Linked DNA regions of Cricetulus griseus. The protein of the gene in region 3 purifies or fractionates together with the protein of the main gene of each other region. This does not show direct contact. Links are inferred from orthologs where the notes say so. Each region holds a gene or a part of one and is shown on either strand. Other genes may lie near its edges. The genes, in order: Akt1, Mcmbp, Fkbp5, protein argonaute-1, Cdk4, Ikbkb and Ikbkg.

What was found.
Region 1: the proteins of Fkbp5 (region 3) and Akt1 purify together in Homo sapiens (affinity purification with western blotting; 3 studies listed by BioGRID, with this or other methods). This does not show direct contact. The link is inferred for Cricetulus griseus from reciprocal best matches to the Homo sapiens genes FKBP5 and AKT1.
Region 2: the proteins of Fkbp5 (region 3) and Mcmbp purify together in Homo sapiens (affinity purification with mass spectrometry; 3 studies listed by BioGRID and IntAct, with this or other methods). This does not show direct contact. The link is inferred for Cricetulus griseus from reciprocal best matches to the Homo sapiens genes FKBP5 and MCMBP.
Region 4: the proteins of Fkbp5 (region 3) and protein argonaute-1 purify together in Homo sapiens (affinity purification with mass spectrometry; 6 studies listed by BioGRID and IntAct, with this or other methods). This does not show direct contact. The link is inferred for Cricetulus griseus from reciprocal best matches to the Homo sapiens genes FKBP5 and AGO1.
Region 5: the proteins of Fkbp5 (region 3) and Cdk4 purify together in Homo sapiens (affinity purification with mass spectrometry; 3 studies listed by BioGRID and IntAct, counting the BioPlex papers as one, with this or other methods). This does not show direct contact. The link is inferred for Cricetulus griseus from reciprocal best matches to the Homo sapiens genes FKBP5 and CDK4.
Region 6: the proteins of Fkbp5 (region 3) and Ikbkb purify together in Homo sapiens (affinity purification with mass spectrometry; 3 studies listed by BioGRID and IntAct, with this or other methods). This does not show direct contact. The link is inferred for Cricetulus griseus from reciprocal best matches to the Homo sapiens genes FKBP5 and IKBKB.
Region 7: the proteins of Fkbp5 (region 3) and Ikbkg purify together in Homo sapiens (affinity purification with mass spectrometry; 3 studies listed by BioGRID and IntAct, with this or other methods). This does not show direct contact. The link is inferred for Cricetulus griseus from reciprocal best matches to the Homo sapiens genes FKBP5 and IKBKG.

The regions. Positions count from the first base shown.
Region 1 is NC_048598.1:181,392,298-181,395,797, reverse strand, and holds part of Akt1 (RAC-alpha serine/threonine-protein kinase), read right to left. Parts: intron 628-3,500; coding exon 499-627; intron 1-498. UniProt on the Homo sapiens protein: AKT1 is one of 3 closely related serine/threonine-protein kinases (AKT1, AKT2 and AKT3) called the AKT kinase, and which regulate many processes including metabolism, proliferation, cell survival, growth and angiogenesis.
Region 2 is NC_048596.1:72,054,593-72,058,092, reverse strand, and holds part of Mcmbp (mini-chromosome maintenance complex-binding protein), read right to left. Parts: intron 3,093-3,500; coding exon 3,004-3,092; intron 1,719-3,003; coding exon 1,592-1,718; 3' UTR 1-1,591. UniProt on the Homo sapiens protein: Associated component of the MCM complex that acts as a regulator of DNA replication.
Region 3 is NW_023276806.1:233,539,780-233,543,279, forward strand, and holds part of Fkbp5 (peptidyl-prolyl cis-trans isomerase FKBP5), read right to left. Parts: intron 1,400-3,500; coding exon 1,243-1,399; intron 1-1,242. UniProt on the Homo sapiens protein: Immunophilin protein with PPIase and co-chaperone activities. Component of unligated steroid receptors heterocomplexes through interaction with heat-shock protein 90 (HSP90).
Region 4 is NC_048595.1:26,573,538-26,577,605, forward strand, and holds the start of protein argonaute-1, read left to right. Parts: upstream 1-1,268; coding exon 1,269-1,293; intron 1,294-4,068.
Region 5 is NW_023276806.1:130,641,208-130,645,263, forward strand, and holds the start of Cdk4 (cyclin-dependent kinase 4), read right to left. Parts: upstream 2,801-4,056; 5' UTR 2,643-2,800; intron 2,188-2,642; 5' UTR 2,168-2,187; coding exon 1,950-2,167; intron 1,806-1,949; coding exon 1,670-1,805; intron 1,564-1,669; coding exon 1,396-1,563; intron 1,244-1,395; coding exon 1,134-1,243; intron 608-1,133; coding exon 557-607; intron 243-556; coding exon 107-242; intron 1-106.
Region 6 is NW_023276807.1:60,985,494-60,989,769, forward strand, and holds the start of Ikbkb (inhibitor of nuclear factor kappa-B kinase subunit beta), read left to right. Parts: upstream 1-1,476; 5' UTR 1,477-1,590; intron 1,591-1,862; 5' UTR 1,863-1,880; coding exon 1,881-1,985; intron 1,986-4,276.
Region 7 is NC_048604.1:1,290,595-1,294,624, forward strand, and holds the start of Ikbkg (NF-kappa-B essential modulator), read right to left. Parts: upstream 2,801-4,030; 5' UTR 2,703-2,800; coding exon 2,700-2,702; intron 2,183-2,699; exon of another isoform or gene 2,029-2,182; intron 1-2,028. Other genes in the region: G6pd (glucose-6-phosphate 1-dehydrogenase), read left to right, coding at 3,570-3,689. UniProt on the Homo sapiens protein: Regulatory subunit of the IKK core complex which phosphorylates inhibitors of NF-kappa-B thus leading to the dissociation of the inhibitor/NF-kappa-B complex and ultimately the degradation of the inhibitor.

The DNA.
Region 1 (3,500 bases), on a different chromosome or scaffold from region 3:
ACTGGGCTGTCACAATGTGACACAGAGAACAAGGACATAGATTCTCAAGCTCCACGCTCTCAAAGATAGTTTCACAATATCCTCAACTTTATAACCCTCACCAATCCTGGCACTCCAGCTAAGGCGATCACAAGACCCAGGGCAAAGGACTACCAATGGTCTTCCCAGGAAACAATACAGAAATGGTTCCCAGGATGTCTTAGGCTCCTAGAACTGGGAACCTTCTTCTCAGTCTACCCAAGAGTTCCCAGTGAATGTCCTTGAGTGCCTGTTTAGTCCCCATTAAAGGGACCCTGGTCAACCCACCCTCTAAACCAGGTCCAGTCACCACATGCTGGAACCTTCAGCCTTACAGCAAGGGCTCCCTGGCCCAGCCAGAGCTGGCCACTGGCCAGCTCTAGAGGAGGTGACTCAAAGCTAGCACTGCCCAGCACCCCAGGACAAAACCTGCTGGCCTGCCTAGCCATCTCACTCAACCCAAATGGCCGAGACACTTACGTGCCACTGAGAAGTTGTTGAGGGGGGACTCTCGATGCTCCACGTCCTGAGGCCGTTCCTTGTAGCCAATAAAGGTGCCGTCATTCTTGAGGAGGAAGTAGCGTGGCCGCCAGGTTTTAATGTATTCCCCTGCGGGGGGGGGGGGGCATAAGGAGCTGCATGTGAACAACACTGCAGTGGCCCTGACACCTGAGAGGACCTAGGCACATAGAGGTAGGGAAGGGATCTGGGCCACTTCCTTCCCAGAAGGCACTGGCACTGGGGCAGAGCTCCAGTGCATGTTGCTGGGAGCATCTTCCAGGGCTCTGCCTGTGCAGCAGAGTCAAGAGGTGCCATGGCTGGAACGAGTGTGCGCGTGTGTGTGTGTGCGCGCGTGCGCACGTGTGTGTCCTAGCTGAGACCTGTGCTGTGTCCAGCTGAGTCCTGCCCTGGTCACCCAGGTACACAGGAACATTGTTCCCTCCTCCAGTTTTGCAGCATCAGCCAGAAGCAGGCACCACACTCAGACATCAGAGCAGATGTCCTCTGTGATCTCCCAGCGACTGTCATTTTTCATACTGACACCCGGAAAAAATGTTTCATTTACATTTTGCCGAGCAAGGAGTCTGAACAACAGGGAGCTAACTAATTAGGCAACTTCTTCATCTGAGGGGACACTAGACTGAGGACAGGAGGGGCAGCCCACAGGGCTGGGGTCCCTGAGCTCTATCTGAGATGAACTTTGCTTGTCCCACTGAGTCCTGAGCAAGAGCACCTAGAGGGGTATGCAGGGAGCAACTGTTTGGACCAGGCCACCTGCCACCAGGTGCTCCAGGATGCAGACCAAGTCACAAGGACAAACACCCTGGTCTCAGGCACCAGGCAGTGCACCTAACGCATTTTCCACAGCCCCAGGGAGGCTAGCTAGCTTTCCTTCTCTACCCTCTCATGGTATGTACTAAATCCAGGTGTTCTCTGAGAACACGTGCAGGTGAGATACAGTCTACCCAGTATAGTTCACCAGCTCAGACTCTCAGGGCCTTCCAGGGTACACGAAGTAGGGGCTCTGGGCAGTATATTGCCAGACTCCTCACATGACCTACCTCCCCCGACTCCACCGTCTAGTCCCTTTCAATTGACACCCTGGAGGCATTTCCGACACCAGCCTTGCTCTGCATGACCCTACACAGCCCTGCATGAATCAGGATAAGAGAAAGCCTAAGTGACGGACAAAGGCTCTTGGTGAGAGAAGAAGTGATAGAGCCACTACCAGGCCAACACCCCACACACACTCCAGGGAGCTGGTAGCTATTAGAGCTAGGGATCCTGTCCCCTCGTCACTGCAGATCTCCTAAGCCTGCCATCAGCACTGACAAAGACCCCAGCCTCACAATGGAGAGGGGCAGCAAAGAGAGCAAGCTCGAGCTCCTCCCGACTCCATTGCATGTGCCCAAATGTGCCTGGTGGTCCTCCAGGGCCTAGGCTAGATTATTCTGCTTCTCTCCAAAGGCCTACAGTCCGTAAGTAGCTGGAACTAGGACACCTGGAAACCCATTCCTGCCTCCCATCTTTAGTTCCCAGAAGCTCAGCTCCCCAGCCGGCCACTTCCCACAGCCACTGGGGGCTTCAAAGCAATGACCAATGCCAACCCTCCCTCACTCAGGAGGGCCTAAGGCTCAGCAACCTGCCTACACAACAAAAACACAGAACAGGGTTCCCATCCAGGTTTTCGAAGACCCCTGAACCCCTGCAGGCACCAGCCTGGCTTCTGACCAGGTGGCACACACCTGCAGTATTCACATGGCCAGTGGCCCCATGACAGCCCCTCCCCTGGCATAGGGCCTCGAAGGCTCAGTGGGCAGGCAGGGGCCCTGGGTAATATAGCAGAGCCAATGGGGGGTGAGCAGCCCCCCCACCCCGTTCCTCCCTAGGCCCCCGCTGTGCACGCCCACCCGCCAGCACCAGTCTGGAGCTGTCGGCCCCTGATGGAGTGCCTCCATCTCACCAGCTGCTGCTCCCCGGGACACTAACTGAGTACGGAGGCTGATGAGCAACACACTCGCACCCCAGAAATCCATCTTGATTTACCAACTGCTGCCCACCCCACTGTGCCCAGTGCAGGCCCCCAGACAAGACCACCACCCTATCTACAACTGGCTCTTAGCCTGCATGACCAGCCCCTAGGCCAGGCAGATTCCAGAATGTGGACCTGGAGGTACAGGCAGGGACACTCACCAGGCAGAGAAAGCCAAGTACCCAGAAGGGCCTAGGTGCCCTTCCCCTCCCTGGCCTCACAGAGGCCTCCTGGCCAAGGAGAAATGTAAAGTGAAGTGACCTCATCAGGTCTTTCCCGGTGGCGGCCTCTTCCAGAGGAAAGGGAGCCACAGTTCTGACACACAGATCTCTTTCTTCATCTCCGGCCTCAAGGTCTAGCCAAATGGTCACTGGGGGTACCAGCTAAGCCAGCTGCAGCCTAGGATGTGGCCTGCATGTTAATGAGTTCAGTCCAGACAGACCCCAAGCCCCACCCCTCCAAAAGAACTGTGCCAACACATGACAGACAAATACAAGAGGTGGCTACACTGGTCCTTCATGGCCACGTGGTATCTAGGAATACCCCTGCCCCCTTCTGGGGCCTCCCTCCAGCTTTTCACACTCCAACAAGGAGGGACTGATACTGAGCCCCTGCAGAAGTGCTAGGCTCTGGCCCATCCAGGCTCTTCTCTACTCCCTCACCCCATCTGGATGCCTGGTACCCTGAAAACAGGTAAGGCGGAGTCCAGCTGGTGAAGCGCAGCAGCAGCTGGGGCCTTCCACCTGTCCACACAGCCTCTGGGAACACAAGTACTCACGGCCCACTAGAGGTGCTGTGCTCCACCTGGAGTTTCCTCACCAGGCCCGTGTTCACACAGACATGAACAGATGACAAATAACCAGGTGCCACCTCCACAGTGTGGTCCCCATGGTTCTTGAGGCCAGATGCCTGACAACAGCTTCTCGTTGAACAACAAAACCAGCCAACA
Region 2 (3,500 bases), on a different chromosome or scaffold from region 3:
CTGAAATGGTAGTTTGTAGTTCCTTTCATTGGGCTGACCCTGTTTCCTTGGTTAACAATGTCAACATAAGCCTCTTTAGTAGGAGAAAATTAAGGGACCATTTAATTCATTTGTATCCAAATTAATTCATCTTCATGTACATCATAGCTTAAAAGCAATGTTCTAACCTTTCTGAAGGTTATGCTATATTAATTTGCAAATGACAAGTAGTAACATTTGTTTATTTGAAAACATGCATATCAAGCTGGGTGGGTGTTGGTGGCGCACGCCTTTAATCCCAGCACTCTGTAGGCAAAGGCAGATGGATCTCTGTGAGTTCGAGGCCAGTCTGGTCTCCAGGGTGAGTGCCAGGATAGGCTCCAAAGCTACACAGAGAAACCCTGTCTCGGGAAAAAAAGAAAGAAAAAAGGAAGGAAGGAAGATATGCATATCAAAATGAATAGGTCTGAGGAAAACCTACCTGTGACTATATGGCCTTTACTATACTAGCAAATGACGTTACTCATCTAACACACGTGGAAACCATCTGACAAACTTACATTAAAAGCTCAAAATCCAGTACAGTCATCAAATTGGCTAAATAATGAGAAAAATTATTAAAAGTACCCACCCCCACAGGCTAAGAATGTAGCTTAGTTGTAGAGCACTTCTCCAGCATGTGTGAGGGGCCAGAGTTCAATACATAGCAGAAGGAAGGAAGGATTCTAACCCCCCCCCCAATCAAAGTTTACAATTTAAATAGGTTTTTTTGTATTTTCATTTTCCATGTTTGGGTAAGGTTCCATGGGGTAGCATTCCCTTCAGAGTCCCTTAAAATGACAGTTCCCAAATGCAGGGTATGAGAAAAGCTAAGGACAATGTGGTGACCTTCACAAAGCTGCATTTATTCCAAGGAAAGAAGTCTCTTATCTGAGTGTCCTTTTATGAAAACAAAATGGTGATCACAGTGATTTTTTTTTTTTCCCCAAATGACTTGGCAAATTAACTGGCCACTCTACCCCAGAGATCTCTGGAAGTATTACTAGTCCATTAAATTAAAAGCTGGGAACCCCTGCCATGGGAAAGCCTAGTTCTGCAGGGTATTTAACAACTGTAAGTGGGAAAAGGTTTCTATGGCCAGGTATGTAGAAATGACACTACAAGAGTTCACAAGAATCAATGGCAAGTACATTCCGACTAGATACACTTAGACCAGAGCCATTCTGCATTAACACAGAGAGAGAAATGTGAGGGCACAGTTCTTCCAGTAACTGTCTTCAGGCGAAGCTGGTACTTCAAGAGTCTGGCCTAAGATGGAGCTATAGCTAAGGAGATGGTATGATCAGCAACATTATCATAATTAAACCTTTAATATCAAAGACATTTTTGTACATCATAACTAATTATAAAACAAACTCCAAAACTCCATAAAACCAGTAAGGTAAAAGCCCTTACAGAGAATCATATAAACTTTAGGTGTCACCAGGCTTGATTTCAGGAAAAGTCATTGTTTTTAGATACAAATTATCTATAAAACAATATGTTATAAACGAATCTGAATTGTACAGCATGGAGGCTATAGCTTGCCCATTCTCTTCTTAAGTTCAGAACTCTAAAGTTCATTCCCATTCACACATTTGTGCTGCTGAAGCCTGTTTTTTCTGGAAGACTCCAGCTGCTTTGCTCTTAGCCATCGTTCTCTTGATAGTGTTGTCTGACCAGCACTCAGGGACAGAAACCTGGTTTGAAATTTAAAAATTACCTAGAGTTAGGAAGATTACCTTAAAGTTTTAACAACTAGGAAATCTTTGAAAGCCCATCAGAAGCTACACATGAGCAAAGGAATCCCTGGAGAGCCAGAATTAGAGGGTGCTCAACTCTTAAAAGCTTAGAGAACAAGACTGTTCTCCTGCTGAGATCACTGGCAAATATGAACCCTCAATAAGCACTTTCATTAGGTAGGCATTCTTTTTTTTAGTGATTTTTAATATCATACTTTTTTAGCATCCCGACCACAATTTTCTCCCCTTCCTCTCCACCACCACCTGGCCCTCTGCACCAATCCAACCCCCCACTCCTCCTCGGTTTCTATTCAGAAAAGAATAGGCCTCCCATGATATCAACCCAACATGGCATATCAAGTTACATAAGACTAAGCACCTCCCTTCGTGTTAAGGCTGGGCAAGGCGACCCAGTATGAGGAAAAGGGTCCCGGAAGCTGGCAAAAGAATCAATCAGACAGCCCCTGCTCCCACTATTAGGGGTCCCACAAGAAGACCAAGCTACACAACTGTAACATATGAGCAGAAGGCCTAGGTCAATCTCATGCAGGCTCCCTTGTTATCAGTTCAGTCTCTGTGAACTCCTATGAACCCAGGCTAGCTGGTTCTGTGGGTTGTCTGGTGATGTCCTTGAGCCAGCCCTCTGGCTCCTACAATCCTTCCCCCTCTTCCACAGGATTCTCCAAGCTCCACCTAATGAGTTTTCTTTTTATTTAACTTTTTCCATGTCTGTCCGTGTTTGTGGGAAGCCCAGGTCTGACATCAAGGATCTTCCTCAATCACTCCCTGCCTTAGTTGTTGAGGCAGGGTATCTCAATTGAACCCAAAGGCTGGCTAGTATTACTAAGCTAGTCAATTTGCTCTGAGACTCCTTGTGGCCATGTACACCCAGATTTCAGGTGTATCTGAACTTCAGTCCTTAGGCAAAAGCTTTACCCATCTGCTCAACTCTAGAAGGTGTCTTTGAAGGAAAAGTTCCTTTGTTTTTAGAAGTCTGCCTTAGCCTCAGTAGTAGCACACAACTTTAATCCCTGCACTCGGGAGGCAGAAGCAGAAGCAGAGGCAGGAGGATCTGAGTTTGAAGTCAGCCTGGTCTACAGAGTTCCAGGATAGGCTCCAAAGCTACAGAGAAATCCTGTCTCGAAATATAAAACAAACAAAAAAGTCTGCCTCGGTTAACTGTTGAATAAATCAGAATTGCATACGGCCAACAAAAAAGGGGAATACAGATGAGCACACTTACCGAGCCACCACAAGCAACTGGTGGAGGTCATCAGCTGTGATACTCTGAGGATCATTTTTACGCATTTCCACAAAATCATCTTCAACCGCCTTTATCAAAAGAGTAATATATTTGTAAAAGTATTGCTTCAAACCTCTTTAAGTGCATTTCAAACTATTTCTTTATTGTTGTAAAGAAAAAGAAACATGGTCCTTGACTGAAATAAAAATAGACGGACAAATAAGCCAAGGAGGGTAAAAAGAGAAAGAACCAAATATTTAATCTCCATTACAAAATGCAACATGGAAAACATTCTACATGCAGCTGTGTCCCCCTTGAGAATGCCAAGCAAGCACAGAAGCCAGCATCTTCCACAGTGTGATGCCGTGCTATTGTGCACACCTGAAAGCTGAGAGAGAAGGATCACAAATTACAGGCCTGCCTGGGTCCAATACAGCAGAAAACAATGGCTGTGTCAAAACCCTGGAAACTCCCAGTAAATTGGGGATCATTTATAC
Region 3 (3,500 bases):
AGCTGGGTTAAGACTTACAGATCTGGGTCATGTGTCCCTGAATGGTTACACTTTACAGAACTTATCCTTAAGGGCTCAACTGTGAAAGCATATCTGAGACAGCCGCCACCTGAGTGTGGAGCTCCTGTAATTTTGGAATGTTAGATTAGAAGTGATTAGTAAACTTTAATCCCAGCACATGGGAGCCAGAGGCAGGCAGAGTTTGAGGTCAGCCTGGTCTACACAGTTGAGTTTTGGGGCAACCAGAGCTACAAAGTGAGAAGATATCTCAAAAAAAAAAAAAAAAAAAAAGATTGGAGACTGTAGGCTATGAAGTACCTGCTCTGCAAGTCTGCAAAGAGAAAAAAAGTTTTCAGTCAAAAAGTAGGGTAGAGTGAACTACAGCCCATTGCAAACTGAAACCCTGAAGCAGGACTGCAGCACTGAACAGGGTTGAGAGAAAGGCAGCAGACAAAGGGGCCTCGTAATGGCTTTAGGATCAGGACAGAGCATTCTAGAAGAACTTTCAAGGAAGTGTGGGCATGGCTAAAACTACTGAGGAACAGGATTATAGACAAGCACTGGCGTTTTGTCAGGGACCCCTGAGGGGTGAGGGCAGGCCGAAGAGTCTCAGAACTCAGATCTGCCAGTTGCAATCTGTGAGCCCGTGAGGCCACTCTGGCCAAGGAGATGCTCTTGCATGCAGGCATCCCTGGATTCTCTCAGGGCCCATTTCTCAAGATAGAAGAGTTGAATTTATGGTACAATTTTAGACCAAAAATAATACAAAACATGTTTTCACAAGAGACTGTCAGTGCCGGATAGTTCTAAGCTTGGAAGTGCTAATGGCTATCCTTATGACGGGAAAGATTTAGGCAAAAATGAGTCATCTCCGCTGTCTTTAGATCCAGGAAGAACAAGCTGGTTTTTTCTTCCTTCGGGGACTCCATATAAGAATGTGGCATGCATTCAAGGGGTAGTAAATCATGCCCTACTTCAGCTCTCAGCACTCTCCTGCTGAACTCAGAGGACAGAAAAGAGGACCAGCCAATCTTTGCTGATGTGGCACCATGGCATAGGAACAAATCAAAAACAAGGCTTATTTGCCCTATTCTTAAACATACTTGAGCTGAGCCAACCGCTCACAAACTTCCCGACTACCACCTGACTCAATGCAATGACCTCACTGTGATAGCAAAAGCACCGAGTGAGAGAGTAGGTCTTCAGACAGCTACACTGCATACGGAAACGGGCGCTTCTTACCGTGGTCCAAGATATAAAACACACTGCTCTTCCCTCTGCATTTTCTCCAGGGCTTTGTCAATTCCAATGGGAATGTCGTGGTCTTCTCCTTCACCAACAATGAACACCACATCTCTGCAATCAAACATCCTTCCACCACAGCAGCCTTCCAGGTGGACTGAGGGTGAGGAGACAGAACAGTCACAAGCCACCCCTCAGCACTGCCTGTCAAGTGAGCGGCCAACAGTGCAGCTCTGTCCACAAGACACACACAGTGTCTTCTAGAAGCTTTGCCCACCCAGTGTGAAAGTTTAAGAACAAGAATATTTTTCTGTTTTAGGTTAAATGAATACTAGTTTTCTTACCTGTGACACAAGGTCAGGATATACTGGCTTATTTAAACACACAATAAGGAGAATGCCACGCATCTAGTCCTGACAATATACAACGATGGCTTAACCATTTGTAACAGTATCTTGGGTTCAGATGCTTGGGTGAAATAAATAAACCAATAATAATGCCAAGCCTGGAATGTCATTTCTCCAATGATACATTCATGTTAGATTTTCTTTTCTTTCTTTCTTTCTTTCTTTCTTTTTTTTTTTTTTTTTGAGGCAGTCTTTTTATATATCTCAGGCTGGCCTGGAACTCTTATTTTCCTGCCTCTGCATTCCAAGTGCTTTCTTATTATATTATTACAGGCCGGCACCACATCTTGTTCCAATTACTTTGTATGGCGGTGAGGACTGACCCCAGGGACTTGTGCAACAACCAACCACAGAGCTACACCCCAGCCCAACTACCTTTAATGCCCATGTTCCATATGCCTTTCTCGAAGGTCTTTTACTCACTAAGAAAAATGGCTTGTGAGCCAGTGCAACAGTCACCACGATTCCTCTTTGATAATCTGGAAAGTTCTTAGGCTGCTTAACTGATGTGGGGTAAGTAACTACGTAACTTGCTTTACAGAGTCTTGAGAATCCACCCTCTCTTACACATTAACTATGTGTCCTATGACAGCTGTCAAATTCCAAACACAGACCCAATTCCAACTCCCTCCACCACCCTTATCTGATCTCAGCAGTCTCCTAAAAGGCCTGAAGGTCTATGATTCTGTTTCAGCTAGAAGCCACCTTTAATGCTAATTCCTGTGGTTAACCATTTGATCCAGCACCTTTAGCCTAGGCCTGATAAGTCAGAGGGACTCTGACTATCAACAGCAGGGCCTCAGTCAGCAGAGTCAGGACAACCTCCAGGACGAACACCACGCTGGTTGCTCCCTCGGCTGTCAACCCAAATCCTGAGTCAGTTCCTTCAAAGCAAGGGCTGCAGCCTGGATCTCAGGGTGTGCATAGAGCCTCTTGTTTTATTTCCCACACTTGTTAATATCTATGATGACCACTTCTGGAATGTTCTAAATAAAATAATAGCTAACTTGCAGATACCTCCCCCACCCCACCCCCAGTGCACAGGTAGCGTGAAAAAACCAGGTTGAGTGTAGTGTGAGAGGCATCCAGCTGGACAGCTGTGAGCACTGCCAGCAGCCGCTTCCATTTTTTTAAAAAAAGACTTAACTTTATTTTAAAAATTTAAAATACATGTACACCAGAGGTTTGGGAGCACAACTGAGGCCCATGGTTTTGTTTTTTTTTTGTTTTGTTTGTTTTTCTAGAGTAAAGGTGATGTTTCTAAAGGAACTGGGTTTTTAGGAAGTTGGGTATCTATTCTAAGCCTAGCTACTCAAAAGGCTGAGGCCGGAGAAGCATACACTGTGGCCTATCTCACAAGAAACAGTGAAGAGAGGGATAGGGGTAGCTCACAGTGGCAGAGTACTTGCCCAGTAGGTACAAAGCCTGAGGTTCAAGCCCCAGAACCTCCAAAAATAAACAGAATTTAGACCAACTTCTCACTAGAGATCTGCTGAGCACAGGAGTTCTTGCCCATGCACAAGGTAAGCACATCTTTAGACTGACAGATTTGGCGGGGGAGGGAATTCTGAAGTTTATTGTTAGGTGATCACCTTCCTCCTCAAGTGCGGTGTCTTTAGCTCGGAGGAAGCTATCAGTACATTTGTTGTGGCTTTTGGTCGATCAAGTCTGAATGTGTTTTCAAAACAGGAAGTCCAGAGACTTCTGCAAAGGGTCCCCACTTACTATCGGTTCCCTAGACTGATTCGCAATCATGTAATGTGTTTGAAATGACTACACAGTTTCAGAAATTCTCTTTAAGTGTGCAGGAAACAAGCAAAAAAACCAGAAAGTCAAACTGTATCAAAGGCA
Region 4 (4,068 bases), on a different chromosome or scaffold from region 3:
TTAAATAGGGCAACCGAGACAGGAACTGACATTTTTGGCATGAAGATACATTCCTTGAAACAGGACATGTACATATGTTTTATGGGGGAAAAGAAAGGGTCAGGTTTGGACTTAAATTTGAAGAGTTAGATCCAGCTGGAGCTGTCCAGCAGATAGTAGGAAATTTGAAGCCGCTACGTGGTTAGATAGAGATACTTGGGCTTTTGGAGTGGATGAAGCCATGAAGAGAAGGAAGAGTAGAATATAAAACTCAGGTTGGAACTACAGTGAACAAAACAACAGTTTTAAAGAAAGCTGAACAGGACAGGCATTAGGAGACTTAAGAAAATGGAAGAGGCCAAGTAAATTCTTAAAAAAAAAATGCTTAGTGTCAGATGTTGAAAAGCAATAATGGAAAATTAGCCTTTGGGTTTTGACACAAACGTCATTGAAGTGATTTGGTAAGAGCAAAATTCTGCAGATGAGAAAGTGGAGCCAGGTGCTTCCGCGTCCTGCAGATAGAGAGCTCTGTTTCTACACTTGAGTTGAAACTGTGACATCTTCCAAAGTAGGCAGGGTCTCTTAACACATCTGTGGTCTCAGCGCCCGCCCAGGCAGGCGGCCTGGAAGAGGGTGGCGTCAGTGAGATCAGCGACTAGGGACGCAGAAAAACTGACTTCGCAGAGGCAGCCAAGACTTAAAGGATGAGGGTGATTGGGAGAGGTGGGAGGCTGGGTCCCGGGGTGAAGGGATGTTGGAGGGGAAGAGGGCCGGGAAATGAGCTGGGAACCAGGCTCTGTGCCGAGGGCAGGGACTGCGGGCAGGTTCCCAGCGACCTGAGTAGGGAAAAGACAGGGCCCCAGGCTGCAGCCGGGGAAGGGGTGTCGCCCAGCCCCGCCCCACTTACGCCACTGCGCGGTTCCGCCACCGGAGCCCTCCCGTCAGGCTGCACGGCCACGGGTGGCCGCCAGGGGCCGCTGCCTGGGCCTCTCGCCCCCGCCCCTCTCCATTGGCCTTTGTTGCCGTCGAGCGCCCCGCTTGACTCGTTCCCGTCCGCCCCCTGGGCCCATCGGTCGCGCCTGCGCACTGGCAGTGCTCGCAGGGGGAGCTGCTGCAGGCTCCGCGGCGGCGGCAACGGAGGCTGCGGGGGCGACGGTGCGAGCGGCCGGGCTTCGGGGGGGAGCCGAGCCCGGCCCGGGAGCCCGAGCAGTGCAAGTGCGAGGCGCCTAGGCCCCTCACGCTGGACTCCTCAGTCTCCCGGCCGCCTGTTCACCGCACGGGTATATGGGATGGAAGCGGGACCCTCGGGAGCAGGTAAGGGCCCTCGGGAGCCGGGAGCGGTGTGTGTTCCAGAGCCCGGAGGGCTCCCGCGGGAAGAGCATGGCTCCAGAGGGCGGGGAGGGGCTCTCAGGAGATGGGGGGCCCGTTTTGAAGGGGCTGTGTGCAGTTCCGGCGGAGAGCCATGTGAAGATCTGAGACCCAGGCTGTTTGTCCTGGGAAGCAGTATGCAGTCCTGTGGGTGGGAAGCAATCTAAGAGAAGGGCCTGAATGCACCGGAGTCCTTCCGTGAGGTTATTAGGGAGGCCTGTGGGGAGGCCCGGCAGGTGGCAGGGGGGCGGGCTCCAGGTGTCCAGGAGAGGAGGGGGGCGACACAGATGGGCCTGTAACTACCGCCTGCCAGGGGCGGGGGCTCGGCCCTGCTGGGCTGGGCTAAGCTAATGTCTCCAGGGAGAAGGCGCCGGAGCTGGGCTCTGTGCTCCGCCCTAACTGGGCCTGAAGCGGGGGTGAGGGTCAGGGGGCGGTGGGTGGGGATCCAGTCCTGGGATTTCCCCCTTAGGCTGGGGACTTGAGTGGTGGCCCGCGAGCATGCGCGGAGGTACCAGCCTAAAGGGCTGCCCTATGTGGTGGGGGCGTGGCTGTTTGAATACCCCTACCCCTCCTCTGCCCTGTTTGGCTTGGGAAAAGGAGCGCACTGATGTGTGCATTCTCTCTTAGATTGTGTTGGCAGAATACAAATGGAAATTGCTTCATCTCTGTCTTGGGGTCTCTGACACTTGGTCCTTAAGCCCCGCAGTTAGCAGTTTGCCAAAGAATGGGTTGAGGTAAACTGCCAGAGTGCCTTTTTCTGCCACATGAGGAAAGACTGGGACCGAAGCCATGCTCTGGGAGCTGGTTCTCTCTGAAGACAGGCCTTAGAAAAGTGTTGGTCATTGAGAGACCAGGCCCATATGCTTTGCAGGTTTCTAGACCGCTACTGAGGAGAGATGGGAGCTTTTAATCCAAGGATAACGTCCTTTTCCTTGAACTGGCTATTTATGTTACAGTGTAATCTCTATATATTTGTGAGTCCTGTTTCCCAGTGGATCTTTTCCCATGTCAGGGGCATGTCGTTAGACTCAAGGTTGCCAAGCTAGTCTGTCTGACAGAAACAAGTTGTTGGAGGTGTGGACGTGATTATTGATCGCGATTGTAGCTCTAACTTATGTTTTCTTGTTTATAAGCAGGAGAAAAGTAGATAAGAGGTGAAACTGAGGCAGGGCTGCCCAGAAAAGACTGGAGGCTATAGACTTAGGATACTTTTTGTGTTCTAGGTCTCTTACCCTCTAGTAGAAAGTACGGTCTGGACCCAGAATCCTTTGGGTTAGCTCTCACCACCTCCTTCCATTTGGTGTAGGGATGGCAACACGATATCTGTTTAGATTACTTTTAAAGATTTTGGGAAACATCTGTTTTTCAGGCCAATAATAGTATCGATCTTAAAACTCTCCCCCAAGTCTGATTCAATGATCTGTGATGTGTTCCTCCAAACACAAATAGCCTTGTAAGGTAGAGTGTAAATTCTAGTTTTCTAGGTTGGGGACTGCTAACAACAACCTGTGGACTAGAGAGTAGGGTGGTGAGGTCACCCACATCTAGACATACTGAAGGCTTGTTTTCCTAGATTACTAATGATTTTATCTTGATGGATTCGTAGTGGGTTCTGGAGTGATGAAGACATGGATTTGTTTGTTACAAGAAAGAAGCTTCTAGGTGAAGGTCTGGAGCATGGGAGTCAGCTGTGTCACTGGAAAAATGTTAGTGGCATGGGGTTTGCCTAATCAAAAGATGTAATCCAAATTCAGGCTGAGAACTCTGATGGAGACCCCATAATTACTTCCTTCTGGGACTGGGCAGTAATACTATTTATTCTTGTAAGATGTTGAAGAATTTTTTCTGAGAAGGCTCATGTGCAGATGTGCCTTCAGTGTGTAGGTGTGTTGGGGCATGTGGACTGGCCTGGAAGCAAGCGCATTGAGGGTGGAGGTACTTCCCGACTTATCTGTGGCAGCGGCACATGGAGGCCCTGACACAGAGTGCATGTTTATTAATTGGCTCAGATCACATTCAAGTGTGAACATATGGTTAAACTCATGTGCATATTCTGTAATTGTGTCTATGTGTGTGGGTGTTTAATGTTTGTGAACAAATATTTCTGGAGAGATTGGTCTCTTAGTCTTTTCTGACTCACCATCTAACTTACCAAGGGTACTTGCCCTTCAAGTAGGCAGTCAGGTTCTTTAGGGAGATGTGTGAGCCTTGGAGTTGTTGGAGAGGAATCCTGACGGTGGACCTTGAGCTCTGTTACTTTTCCTTCTCAGTGCTGGTAGGGGATGGGGGAGGGGGAGTGTCATTTTCAGGGCCCCTCCCTTCTTGCTTTTGTCTGCAGGGAAGGGCCCCGCCCCTTTCCCCCTAGGCTGGAGCTTTGTCCTCTGTGCTGGGGCCCTCATCTGCATCACAAAGTGGCCGTCTGTCCCTGTCTGGGTCTGAGGGGAAGTGTCTTCCTTTCTCAGACTAAAAGCTGGGGGCAGGGCGAGGTTGGGGAGTGGAGACTGTACAGCTGTGGACAGAGCTTTCCAGGGGCTAGAATGGCAGAGAGGTAGTTCTTCCCTCCTGCCTGCTTCCCTAGTTTGGGGATGGCATGGAGATATGTCCCCCATTTTCTTTGACTCCTGGGGAGGAGAGTGTCCTAAGTTCCATTTCTGGGGAAAAGAAAGCTCTGAGGGGAGTGTATGTCCTACCTCTATCATTTTTGCTCAGCCCCTAGTTCTA
Region 5 (4,056 bases), about 100 Mb from region 3:
CTGACACATAGCTTTTACTCGAGTTCTGGGGATTCAAACTCAGGTCCTTACACTTATGCCCTAAAAGCTTTATCACAGAGCCACCTCCCTGGCCCATGCCCACTACCAGCAGCAGCTGTGCTCCAGATTCCTCCATCTCCGGTACCACCGACTGCACAGGCCGCGGCCCTCTGGGGGAAAAGGCTCCTCGGGGAAGAGATACCTCTCGAGGCCAGTCATCTTCTGGGGGCAATCCAATGAGACTGTAGGGATAACACAAATCTGGTCAGGGGGGCTTTTTCCAGTTTCCATCTCCAGGGCCAACTGCCATTTGGAATTGAGCAGAAACTGAATTAAGAATGGGGAATTTTAGCCGGGCGGTGGTGACTCATGCCTTTAATCCCAGCACTTGGGAGGCAGAGGCAGGCGGATCTCTGTGAGTTTGAGATCTTGTAGACCAGCCTGGTCTACAAGAGCTAGTTCCAGGACAGCCTCCAAAGCCACAGAGAAACCCTGCCTCGAAAAAAACAAACAAAAAGGGGGGGGGGGATTTCTTTCCCCTTTATTGGACACTTACTCAAAGATTTTGCCCAACTGGTCAGCTTCAGAGTTTCCACAGAAGAGAGGCCTAAGGTAGAAAAATATTCCAAGTATATATTATTTCAGAAATAAGGGAATGATAATCAAAGTGGCTGAGATTAGAGAGGACGGAGAATAAGGGAACACAAAGTTCCTAATTCCTAGACATTTCAGGAAATTTGCCTGCATCGTTTCTGGTTTTAGGCAAGTTGGTGAACATAAACAGGATAGGTTGGGACTATAGCTGGGTGGCAGGGCACGCGCCTGATAAATACAAGAGCCTAGGTTGGGGCGTCCAGTGCCATATGCACAAAAATGGTCAAGAACGGGTATGTCTTGTAAAAAGACCCAGGGGCGGGGAGTGTAGTTTAGTGGTATAGAGCATTTGCCCAGTGTATGTGCAGTTCTGATTTCAACCTCTAACACCATAAGTAACATCAAAAGATTTGTGTAACTGAAGGGACCTAAGAGTTCCACACCCTGAGCCAGGTGGTGGCGGCAGGCGGATCTCCGAGGGAGTCACAGGACAGCCAGGGCTACCCTGTCTTAAAAAACAAAAGTTTCAAGCCCCGTACTTTCGACGAAACATCTCTGCAAAGATACAGCCAACGCTCCACATGTCCACGGGTGTTGCGTATGTAGACTGCAGAAGAACTTCAGGAGCACGGTACCAGAGTGTAACAACCTAAACAGAAGAGGAGAAACGAGTGAGAGTCCTTTTCATGGCTCATAGCTGCTGGGCTTTGAGAACGTCAAGCACAACACACCTCAGCTGCTACGGGAAATCAAGTACTACCTAAAGCCGAATCCCATTGGGGCTGCCATCTTTCCACTCACCACAGGTGTGAGGGCCATCTGGTAGCTGTAGATTCTGGCCAGGCCAAAGTCAGCCAGCTTGACTGTCCCATTACTAGTCACCAGAATGTTCTCCGGTTTCAGGTCTCGGTGAACAATGCAATTTGCATGAAGAAAATCCAGGCCGCTTAGAAACTGTCGCATCAGGTCCTGGTTTTGAAGGAGAAAGCCCCGGACACCATGTAACACGCTCAAAAACCCCAAGAGTCCCTACTACAAAGACCCGGATCCACCTCTCACCGAGCAGCCCGCTCACCTTGATGGTCTCAACTGGCAAGCCTGGTGGGGGTGCTTTATCCAGGTATGTCCTCAGATCCTGATCTATATGCTCAAACACGAGAGTGACCTTGATGTCTCGATCAGTTCGGGAGGTAGCACAGACATCCATTAGCCTGACAAAAATAAACAGTCGCCAGCCGGTCAATGTCCTTTGTTCCAACGTGGCCTCTGGAGTCCTAGGGTCCCACTCCCGACGACCACACCCCTGGCTTACAGATCCCATTCTTTCCTCCCCACTCCCAATCCAACCTCCTCACCGTACAACATTGGGGTGCTCGAAGGCCTCCAACCGCCTCAGTAAGGCCACCTCGCGTACAGTGCTGATGGGAAGGCCCCCTCCAGCTCCCCCTCCGTTGGGAACTCGCACACTCTTGAGGGCCACAAAGTGGCCACTGTGGGGATCTCGGGCCTTGTATACCGTCCCATAGGCACCAACACCGATTTCAGCCACCGGTTCATAGCGGGAGGTAGCCATTCTCGGAGCAGGGAGATCTCCTACAATCACAGAGGCTTCTAAAACCAAGCCCTCCTTTCCTTCACAGCTAGGAGGGGGGATGACCCAGCAGTAACAAAGGAATTCCTGCCCACGACCGCACCGACACAGCCGCCCATCCCCTCCCTCCACGCTGCCAGAGTGCCGCGCCTCAGGTAACACAAAAGACTCTCCCACCGAGCCCTCCAGCCACGTGATGTCCCGGAGGGGCGAAAAAGAATGCATTCCTCCCGGGGAGGAGGAGGGGGGAGAACGGGACATCGCACCGGGCACAAAGAAGACCATCACAATGCACGGCGTTGGCATCGAAGGTTGCACACTTTATTCCCTAAAATCACACGCTGGCCGCGACCACAAAGGCCCCGCTTCCCGCCCTTGGGCCATCCTTCCACAACGAGGGGATCCATAGGGTGGTGGCGGGGCGCCGGGCCCCATCCCTGCAAGCGGCTGCACTCACCTCTCGCCCGGCCAAGAGCTGCGGAGGTGGCCCTTTATCTGGGCCCGGGAGCCGGTTCCTGCGGCGCCATACACCGGGGATCGGTCCCGGGCAGCTGGACGCTACGGGCCAGACCATAGACACGGGCCGCGAGCTAGAGAGGCCCCCCTCACCCCCACCCTCCCCATGTGACCAGCAGCCAGGGAGGCGCGCGGAAACCGGGGGGGGGGGGCGAACGCCGGACGTTCGCGGCGGACACGTGGTCTCCATCCATCCATCCATCCATCCATGCATGCGCAGTGGATGACCTGGGATGGGGGGGGCGAAACTCGCTCGGGCACGTGACCTGTTGCTATCCCACGTGACCCCTCAGCTCTGCGCTGGGAAGCAGAGGCGTGGCTACGCCGCCTACCACGTGACCCGCCGCCAGTCCCTGACTGCCGAGGGGGTGTGTGGGGGCGAGGGAGGGTGGAGCACCAGGCGGTGCCATGGCAACCGGGCCAGCCGGCTCTCAACTCTGGGCTCAAGGCCGAGCCTGTGCGCATCTCTCCGTCTCACTCCTTGTCTGGACGTGGGCGGGGAGGTCCGGGTGCTAGTGGGAGATCCTGGTACCAGAGATGGGACTGTCACATTTTTCACTCCAGCGCCATGGGGAAGGAGCATTCGTATACTGTGCCTTCGTTTTACTCATTCATTCAACAAAAATTTTACTAAGGGCTCCTTTCCAGTTGGTATGTGATGTTTTTGTTTTGGTGTCTCAGCCATTCGCCCTCTGAAGTAATGATGAGGGTATCTAATGTAGGCAAGTGTGGCCCCTTATGAAACAGGGAGTACGATTCCTATCCAAGAAGGAAACTAGGGCTAAAAGATGGACAGCAGGATTAATATACTCAGTCACTGTATGGGAAGAGTGGCAACGTAATGCCCTCCCCTCTTCCAACTTGCAAACCTCCCTGGGAATATTAAAAGCAGCAAGGAGTTATTGGAAACTCTGTTGTTTTGTTTTTTTTCGAGACAGGGTTTCTCTCTGTAGACCAGGCTGACCTCGAACTTACACAGATCTGCCTGCCTCTGTCTCCCAAGTGCTGGGATTCTGAGATTAAAGGCGTGCACCACTACGGCCCAACAGGGTGCCTGATCTTAAAAGGCTCTTAACACTAAGATTCTGTATTGTGTTACATATGTATGTAATTGTGCATATGAACAGACAAAACGGTGAGCGTGTACAAGGGCGGTCACCAACACCACTTCAGACCACCATGTTGCCCGAGAACGTCTTGTGTCCCTCTGCAAACATGCAACTCATCATTGGTGTCACATTCCTTTTTATTTCTAATGCAGCTTTCTTAGAGCTACTCTTGCCCTTATGGGCATTTCCCAAGTGGTCTGTGCCCACAGAAATCTAGGTAGACAGGTAGATTTGGCATTCGTTGTG
Region 6 (4,276 bases), on a different chromosome or scaffold from region 3:
TTTGTTTTTTTTTCTTTTTTTATAATTTTTTTTAAGTTCCATTTTATGTTTCCACCTCAGTTCTCCCTCCTACTCTCCCTCACCTCCCCTCTAGTCCCCCCCCACACTCCTCCTCCCTAGTAAGGGCTCTCATAAGGAGTCAACAAAGTCTGGCACATTAAGTTGGGGCAAGACTAAGCATTAAAGCTGAGCATGGCATCCCACCATAGGGAATGGACTCCAACAAGCCAGTTCATATACCAGGTTTGTATTGTGGTCCTACTGCCAGGGACCTCCCAGCTAGTCCAAGCTTCACAATTGTCTCCCACAAACAGGGGGCCTAGTTTGGATCCATGGAGTCTCCACAGCTCTCTGCCTAGAGCTCATTAGTTTCCACAAACTTGGTTCAGCTGTCTCTAGATTTCTCCGTCATGATCTTGACCTCCCTTGCTCATGCATTCCCTTCTCCCTGTCTTTGGATTTGGAAGCTCAGCCTTGTGCTTGATTGTGGATCTCTCTGCCCTTGTATTTGCCTGAGCTCACTGTTTTGCTTGCTTTAATAATAAAGGAGTGAGAAGTTCTTTATTTGCACTACTCTTGAGTTCAAATGCTTAGAGTCCCCTGGATATCCAACGAAGACCTTTGGCATATCCATCAATCCACTGAGAGTTAATCTTGCTGGTGGCTGCCCATGCTGGTATAAAGGGCCAGTAAGTCAAAAGCCTCATGCCAGACATAAGAGAAGCTTGTCTCGGCAAAAACTTTTCAAGCAGTTCTGACAAATGTAACCATACAGGAGAGATTGAAGTCTAGACAATGATGGTGGACCAGAACACACCTTGAGCAGGGCTGCTTAGTTATGTATGCCTCTAGCCTTCCATTTAAACCCAAACCTTATGTTAGGACCCCAGTATTGGACCTGGGTTCGCAGAGGCATGGGTGGGAGTGATTGGGCCTCTTTCTGTCTTTTCTCTCTCTTTTTCGGCTTTTCAGTGTTAGTTGTGTCGTGAATTAGGCCATGGAGGGTGAGTGGCTGAATGTGACCTGTTGGGGGTAGGGGAGAGGCAGGTAGGAGAGAGTGTCCTGGTTCTTGACCTAATACTGCAACTCCAGCTTAGGTAGACACAGTTTTTTGTTTTTGTTTTGCTTTGTTTTTGTACTCTTCCTCCTCTTTTGGGGGGGTGGGGTGGGGGATGGGAGTGTGTTACTTTCTGAGGAGTGTCAGTGTCTGTTTTTCATTCTTAGCACTGAACCAGGAGCATTCAGATTCGATGAATGGCAGTGGGAGCACAGGAAGGCAATTCGTATTACAGTCCTAGTAGCCACTTAGCAGATTCTCCCGACCCTCGTTAACTGCCTAGCTTGTTCGATGAAACTCAACTCGAAAAGCCTAGGGTAAAGCAGTCTCTACGCCGCCAAGTCCAGAACCCGCCTGCGGGCTGTGGCTGCATCTCAGCGAGCGGCTCGCACGTCTCCTTTAAGAGCCGCCAAATTCCCGTGACGTCAGGGCAGGAAGTGTTTGAGGAAGTGGCTCTGGGCTGGCTGCGTGGGGACCCTAAGTTTTCATGCCCTCTGTGGGTATCGCTGGCGGCCCCGCGGCCCCTGGGGCAGGTGAGTCCCACGCGAGGGCCGTTCGCTGCGCGTGGAAGGCCCGCGTGGACGCGTGCCCCGCCTCTTCCCGGGGTCTGCGGTGGTGGCTGCTAGCAGTGAGGACCAGGACCGCCAACGGGCCGGGCCGCGGCAACTTTTATTTATTAACTAAACCCTCTGAGTCTGCTCCCCTTCCTTACCTTGAAGGGCAGCAGTCGCTACTGCCTCCCCCTGCTTCTCGAGCTCCATTGTTTCGTTACTCTGAACTTGTCTTCTCTTCCTCTTGCTTCCAGAGTTAGCCGGGCATCGATATGAGCTGGTCACCGTCCCTCCCAACCCAGACATGTGGGGTTTGGGAAATGAAAGAACGACTTGGGACTGGGGGATTTGGAAACGTCATCCGATGGCACAATCAGGTAGGGCTCTGGCCCCGGGGAGAGCAGGTGGACTTTCTTGGTGCTGCTAATGCCAAGGCCGGTGCAAATCGGTGAACTCCCGCCTAGTCTTAGCATGATCTAAAAGGAGAGTAAGAAAGGGGGACTGCAAGGGAGGGGGGTGTGAGAGCTGCTAAACTGACTCTTAAAAACCTTGTTAACCCTGCCACTTAAATAAGGTGGAAAAAAAGCTGTCATTCTAAGTGTTAGACTAATATTAAACTAGCATGTAATGCATTGCATACCGGTGAATGTCACAGAATACAGACCGTGTTAAAAAGATGAGAGCAATAAAGATATTTTAAATAACTTTTAAATTTTAAAATATTTTTAAATAGTTGATAAACCCGGAGTCTTTTGTAATACCGAACTGCACAAAAGACAAGGAGTTAAGGATAATGGGTGAAAAAGTGCAGAGGGTAGGATGGTGAGTGGCTTGATTTCTCTTTTGAGCTGATCATATTCTCATTATTTTGGTCTTTATGTGTCTGAGTCGAGTTTCTTGTGTTACAAGTTTTTGTTCTTCCAGAGGTTTTGGTTTGGGCTGGTGGTTTAAGAACACTGAATTCTTTGAGGGACTCCCTTTAAGTCACCCGTTTACTGTGTGAGAGTTATTTTATGCAATTTGGATAATGAGTTTATGGTAATGCCTAAAAAGTTCGTGGCACCTGTAATATTCCTGTAGCTCCATCCATCCTTCTGCTGTAGATCACTTTCCTCAGGGTTGCTGAGTACCAGATACGATGTGCAACTAACTGACTAACTTGGGGGTCACAGCCTGTGCCCTAAGCCAGGTACTGCTACCCATCCTCAATAAGCCCATTAAGAGTTAATGTAATATCGGAGAGCAGAAGATTGGGTCAGTGTAGTCACATTGAGAGGAGGAACAGAGACCCAGCAAACCTCCCAAGTCCATCTTCAGGATCCTAAATGAGATTAAGGTTTAAATAGAAGGCCATGGATATGTGCATCACAGCAGTCCAGTGGTCCAGCTTACCACTGACCCGTTTTTTTGTCACCCTGTAAGATTTTCTGAGAATTTGTCAACAAATCTTTCTTCAGAAGACAAATTCCCCTTCTGGATGGTGGTTTCTCCTTTCCCAACATGAAATTCCTGGGGAATCCCCATCTTTGGGGTGCAACATTTGAAATTGTCTCTTTCATTTGTATCTTCATTTCTACCTGGCCAGTTACAGGACCTTCTGATAGACCTGGGAGGTGCTTTTATTTTATTTTATTTTATTTTATTTTATTTTGGATTCTAGTATTGGGCATCACTTGAGAAACAACCAAAATTAGAAACTACCCTTCTAGGGAATCAGTCCTTCCTAAATAGCTGTAATTAAAGTCTTGAGTAGTCTAGGTGAGAGACTAGCCTGACTGATGGTGGCGATAGGAAGAAGTGGGCAGATTTAAGAGCTGTTTAGGGGTAAAATGAGCAGGACTTGGATAGGATAGGAGGGTATTGGGGTCAGAGTTGGGATGGAGTTCGATTGAAGTGGTGCTGACTGAAGAACCCGTTTGCTTAGTCTGAATTCCTCCACCATCTTCATGGGCTAATCCTCCGGGAAAGCCAGGGGGCTGCTTTGGATGTGCAGAAACAATCTTTAATCCATATCTGAGATCAAAAGGTACAGTGTGCTTTCTAGTGGATGTACCTCTGTCCCAAGCCTCTTGAAAAATGCAGCTAGATGTGGTAGTATGCTTGGCTTCACATGTTCTTGCTATTTCCTGTGCTTTCTCCTGTCTATAAGCAAGAGAATGGATGTAGCTATCACAGGAGAAGTGCTGCCTAAGAACCAGGGTCATTGCTGTAAGCCTGTTGCATGCCAGCATCAGGCTAGGTGTCTCCTGTGCAGCTTTTGTTTGGCATTGCCCTGAGCTGTGAACCACCCTTATCTTACATAATTCACTTCTGGGGTCGACAACTCTAATTTCCATTTTGTAGCCCAAGAAACAGAAGCACTGGGGAGTTAGTTAATGTTCAGAAAGAGGATATACTGTCAACATGTACATCTATTTGGATCCAGATGATATATGCCACGGTGGCTTCTCCAGGTTGGAACTAGAGTTTAGGACATGCCTAACACATTCCCAGTTATTTTGGAGGTCCTGTTTGTTTCTTTATAGTCTACCCAAGCCATTTTGAGGCACTAAGGAGAAATGAAGGGATACCTAAATCTGTATTCCTCAGTGAAAAAGAGCAGTGTAGCAGTGACCCTGCTCCAGTTCTCTTGGCTCTTGATTCCCCCACACAGTGTGGGCTTGCCAGT
Region 7 (4,030 bases), on a different chromosome or scaffold from region 3:
AAATAAAAAGAGGTCTTGTCAAAATTAATTTCCCAGAACTAGAAGTATATCTCAGCAATGGAGTACTTGCCAAACATTCACCAGACTCTGGATCCCCAGCAGTACCCAAAAAAGTGAGTCTCCCAAATCCACTTCTATCCACAACTTCCCTTACTATCAGTTGAAAACAAATCCATCCCCCAACTATCAGGACAAAAAATTTGAGCATTTCTGAGTTTTTGCTTGCTTGTTCGATTAGTTTTTCTGTTCCTTTATCTTCCCCCCTGCCCATCTTTTTAATTCATGAAGACACACTATAACATTAGGTATTTTAAGTGTGATCATGGTGTTGTAGTTATGTTTATTGAGAGTACTTTCTGAAAGAGATACATAATGAAACACTCACATGTCTGAAATTCACTGCATAACAAAAGAGATACCTATGGATAAACCCAATAGAAATGAAAACACATGTCCATATATAAATGATCACAGCAGCATTATTCAAAGCAGCCAGAGTGGAAACAATCCAAATGTCCACCAACTGATGAATAAGCAAAATCTGTTACAAAAACAAGAACACATGCTCCAAATAATTGCTAAGAGAAAGAAATGTCACTAAAAGCTATATACTGTATATACTTACAAGCATAAGAAATATCCAAAACATGTAAATCCTGACAGAAAGTAGTTTAGTGGTTACTTAGAGAAATGAGGTGGATTGGAGTTTCTTATTTAGGATTTCTTTTAGGGATGATGACAATGTTCCGCAATTAGTGATGTTTTCACACTCCTATGAACCCACTAAAAACCACTGAATTATACACCTTAAATACGTGAATTGTAGCCAGATGTGGTGGTGTACTTCTGTAAATCCTAGTACTTAGGAAGTAAAAGCAGGAGGATGAGAAACTCAAAAAGAAGGGATCTTCATGAGACTCTCTCCAAAAATTTTGAATTATGGGCAAGTGACACATCTCAGTGGATAACTATTGGTATGCAAGCCTGGAAACCTGAGAACACATTCTGGCCATGACACTCCACACACATCATGCATACACACACACAAATAGTAAATATTTTTAGTTTTTAAATGTGAATGGTGCAGCATGCAAATTATGTCTCAAGAAAGCTGTTTTTGAAAATTATAATGGGTGGAGCAAAAAAGATGATTACTCAGTGGTTAAGAGCACTTGCTGTTGTTGCAGAGACAGTTCCCAGCACCCACATGGTGGCTCACAAACATCTGCAACTCCAATCCAAGGGGACCTCACACCTTCTCCTGAATTCCTTTAGCAACAGGCAAGCATGTAGTACACATACATACTCACAGCCAAAACACCCACACACATAAAATAACATCTTTTCTAAAGAGGAAAAAAAATCATGGTAGAGTACTGTAAGGGCTGTGAATTAAAGTTAGCTATGAGTTGATAGAGACAACTAAGAAATGTGTACATGGAACTTACTATGTTAATATTTCTACTTTTGTACATTTTTAAAGTTTTCAGTAATAAAAGGCTGACAGCACTATCATCCTTCACATGGATTACTGCAATAATCTCTTTACAGATCACCATGCTTTCTTCCCTTGCCTTTTACAATCAATTGACCCCACTGGGACCAGTTACATCAAAGATAACTTTGACTGTTTCTCCCTTTTATCGTGAACCCTTCAAAAACAAAGGCAAAGTCGGTACACTTGAAAAAGCTGAGGCAGGAGAATCTTGTGCTCGTGGTCTGCCTGGCCTACATTTCGAGATGCTGTTTCAGAAAACAAAGTTTCATCAACAGAAAAATGTCTGTGAACTAAGAGTTCTAGCACTTGGGGCCAAGCCCTTAGGCGACAGATAAGCAGAGGGAAGGACAGAAATCAGTCCAAGTAAGCTGGGTCGCGAATCTGCACTTCTTGAATAAATGCTCTAAAAAGCATTCGAAAGCATGCAACAGAACAAACTGGGCCCAAGGTGGGGGGAAGGGGGCTCAGGAGCCTCGGAAGCTGCATAATGGCCACCGATGGAGCCCTATCTTTGGAGAAGAGGACTACACCTGTCAGCAGAGTCGGCCAGAAGTGAAGAGGGCCTGAGCAGCGGAACCCGACCTCTCAGATTGAATCGGAGCTCTCAGAAAGTCCTGGTTGGGCGGTCACCCTTCCCTTCTCGGCTGTGGAAACCCCTGCTTCCGGCTTCCGGTGTCGTAAGTGTGGGATCCGGAAGTAAAACACAGACTCGAAGTCGAGGAGATTAACTGGAGCTGCGAAGCCACAATAGTGCTGCATCCCACTCTGAAGAGAAGCCTCAGACCGCCAGCCTGCATTGGCTAACCGAAGAGCGCAACGCTCTTCACTGATAAAGATCACACACACACTCACACACACACACACTTACACACTTTTTTTTTTTTGATACAGGGTCTCTCTCCTAGCTATCCAGATCTACCTGCCTCTGCTTCCCGGGTGCTTGGAATTAAAGGCGTGTGTCACCTCGCCCACAGTTGTCCCCACCCCATTTTCAAGGCGTCGCATTCGCAATGAAACACCCCAGTTTTAGTCTGGTTCTGTCACTGGGCTCTCTGCCACCAGGTCCCTACCATGGAAAAAGCCTAGAAGAAGCTGCTAAAGGACGCCAAACCGATTGCAAGGGGAGGCGTGGCTATGCTGCTAACGGAAGTGGGGTCATCCAGGAGTGCGCAGGGACTCGAGGGTCCATCGGAAAACAGACCATAAAGTATGGCTGGGGTAGCGATGGGGACGCAGGAGAACTGTGCGGAGCTGTATCTGTGCCAGCAAAGCATCACGATCGCGGAGCAGGAAAGCAGGGACGGCCAACAGGGTGGGGCTGACAAGGGATGCGTGCGCACCTACTTCTGCTACTCTCCCCTCCCTCACCGATGGAGTAGTCCGAAGCTCCTCCTCTCCTGCCTCTCCTGAGGCGGGTCAGCTCAGTCAAAGCACCCGCCCTCCTGCGTTAAACGAGCCAGCTAAGCGCAGCCCCCGGAAACGAGCTGTGCACTCCAGAACTGTAAACCTGTTTGGCAGCAGCAACTAAACACAGGTAAAGGGGGTGGTCTGATAGCACACCGGTGGAGGGATGTGCTTCCCGCTTATGAGCCGCGTGTCCCTTTGATGAGCGCTATTTGTTATGCTTGGATATGGAAAAAGATCTACGAGGTCTTAACCCATCCCATTGTACCCCGCACTTCCCCGCATTAGGCCCATGAGGACTAGACTTTTAGAAGAGAAGGGTCTTTCTGGGATCATTTAGCTTGGCCAGCAGAGAGCTGGGGCTGAACTCCATCATCTGCACAATGAAAAGATGCTCAGTTCATTGTGGCGTTTCTGGCAGAGACTGGAGTGCGATGGCCCCAGACACAGTGCGATGCTCTGACCGCGTCGCTTTCCCAGAGTGGATTCCCTAGCTGAATTCCATTAATGCTTATAGAGATTTCGTAATGTACAGCCCCCAGAGAAGACAACATAGGATATGGCTGGAGCCCAGAAGCAGCAGTTTCTGATTCTGATAAGGTTAAGTTGTCAATGCTCTTCTGTTCTCCTGCCTTATCAATGAGTCTTTCTTCCACCAGAAAACACCATGGCAGAGCAGGTGGCCCTGAGCCGGACCCAGGTGTGTGGCATCCTGAGGGAAGAGTTGTACCAGGGTGATGCCTTCCACCAAGCTGATACACATATATTTATCATCATGGGTGCATCGGTGAGTCTCCCCTCAGGCCCTGAGTGTAAAAAAATCAAATGTAGCATTTTGCAAGGCACTTCTCTCTCTTTACCTGAACTTTCCCAACTGACTGCTAAGGGGCCACACAGGTTCTAATTTGAACTCACGGCATATGTTCCCACCTGTGTGTCCTGATCATCACAGCAGTCAGTACCTGCTGTACATCATGTACTTCTGTCAAATTTCTCATTTGCAAGGCTTTTCAGAAATCTATGTTCAGCCATTAAATGTGGGCCAGACTTGGAGCATGCAAGTTCTAAAGCACCATCTACTTGAACTTCTTCCTCCTGGATGGAAAAAAAAAAACTGAGGTGCAACCA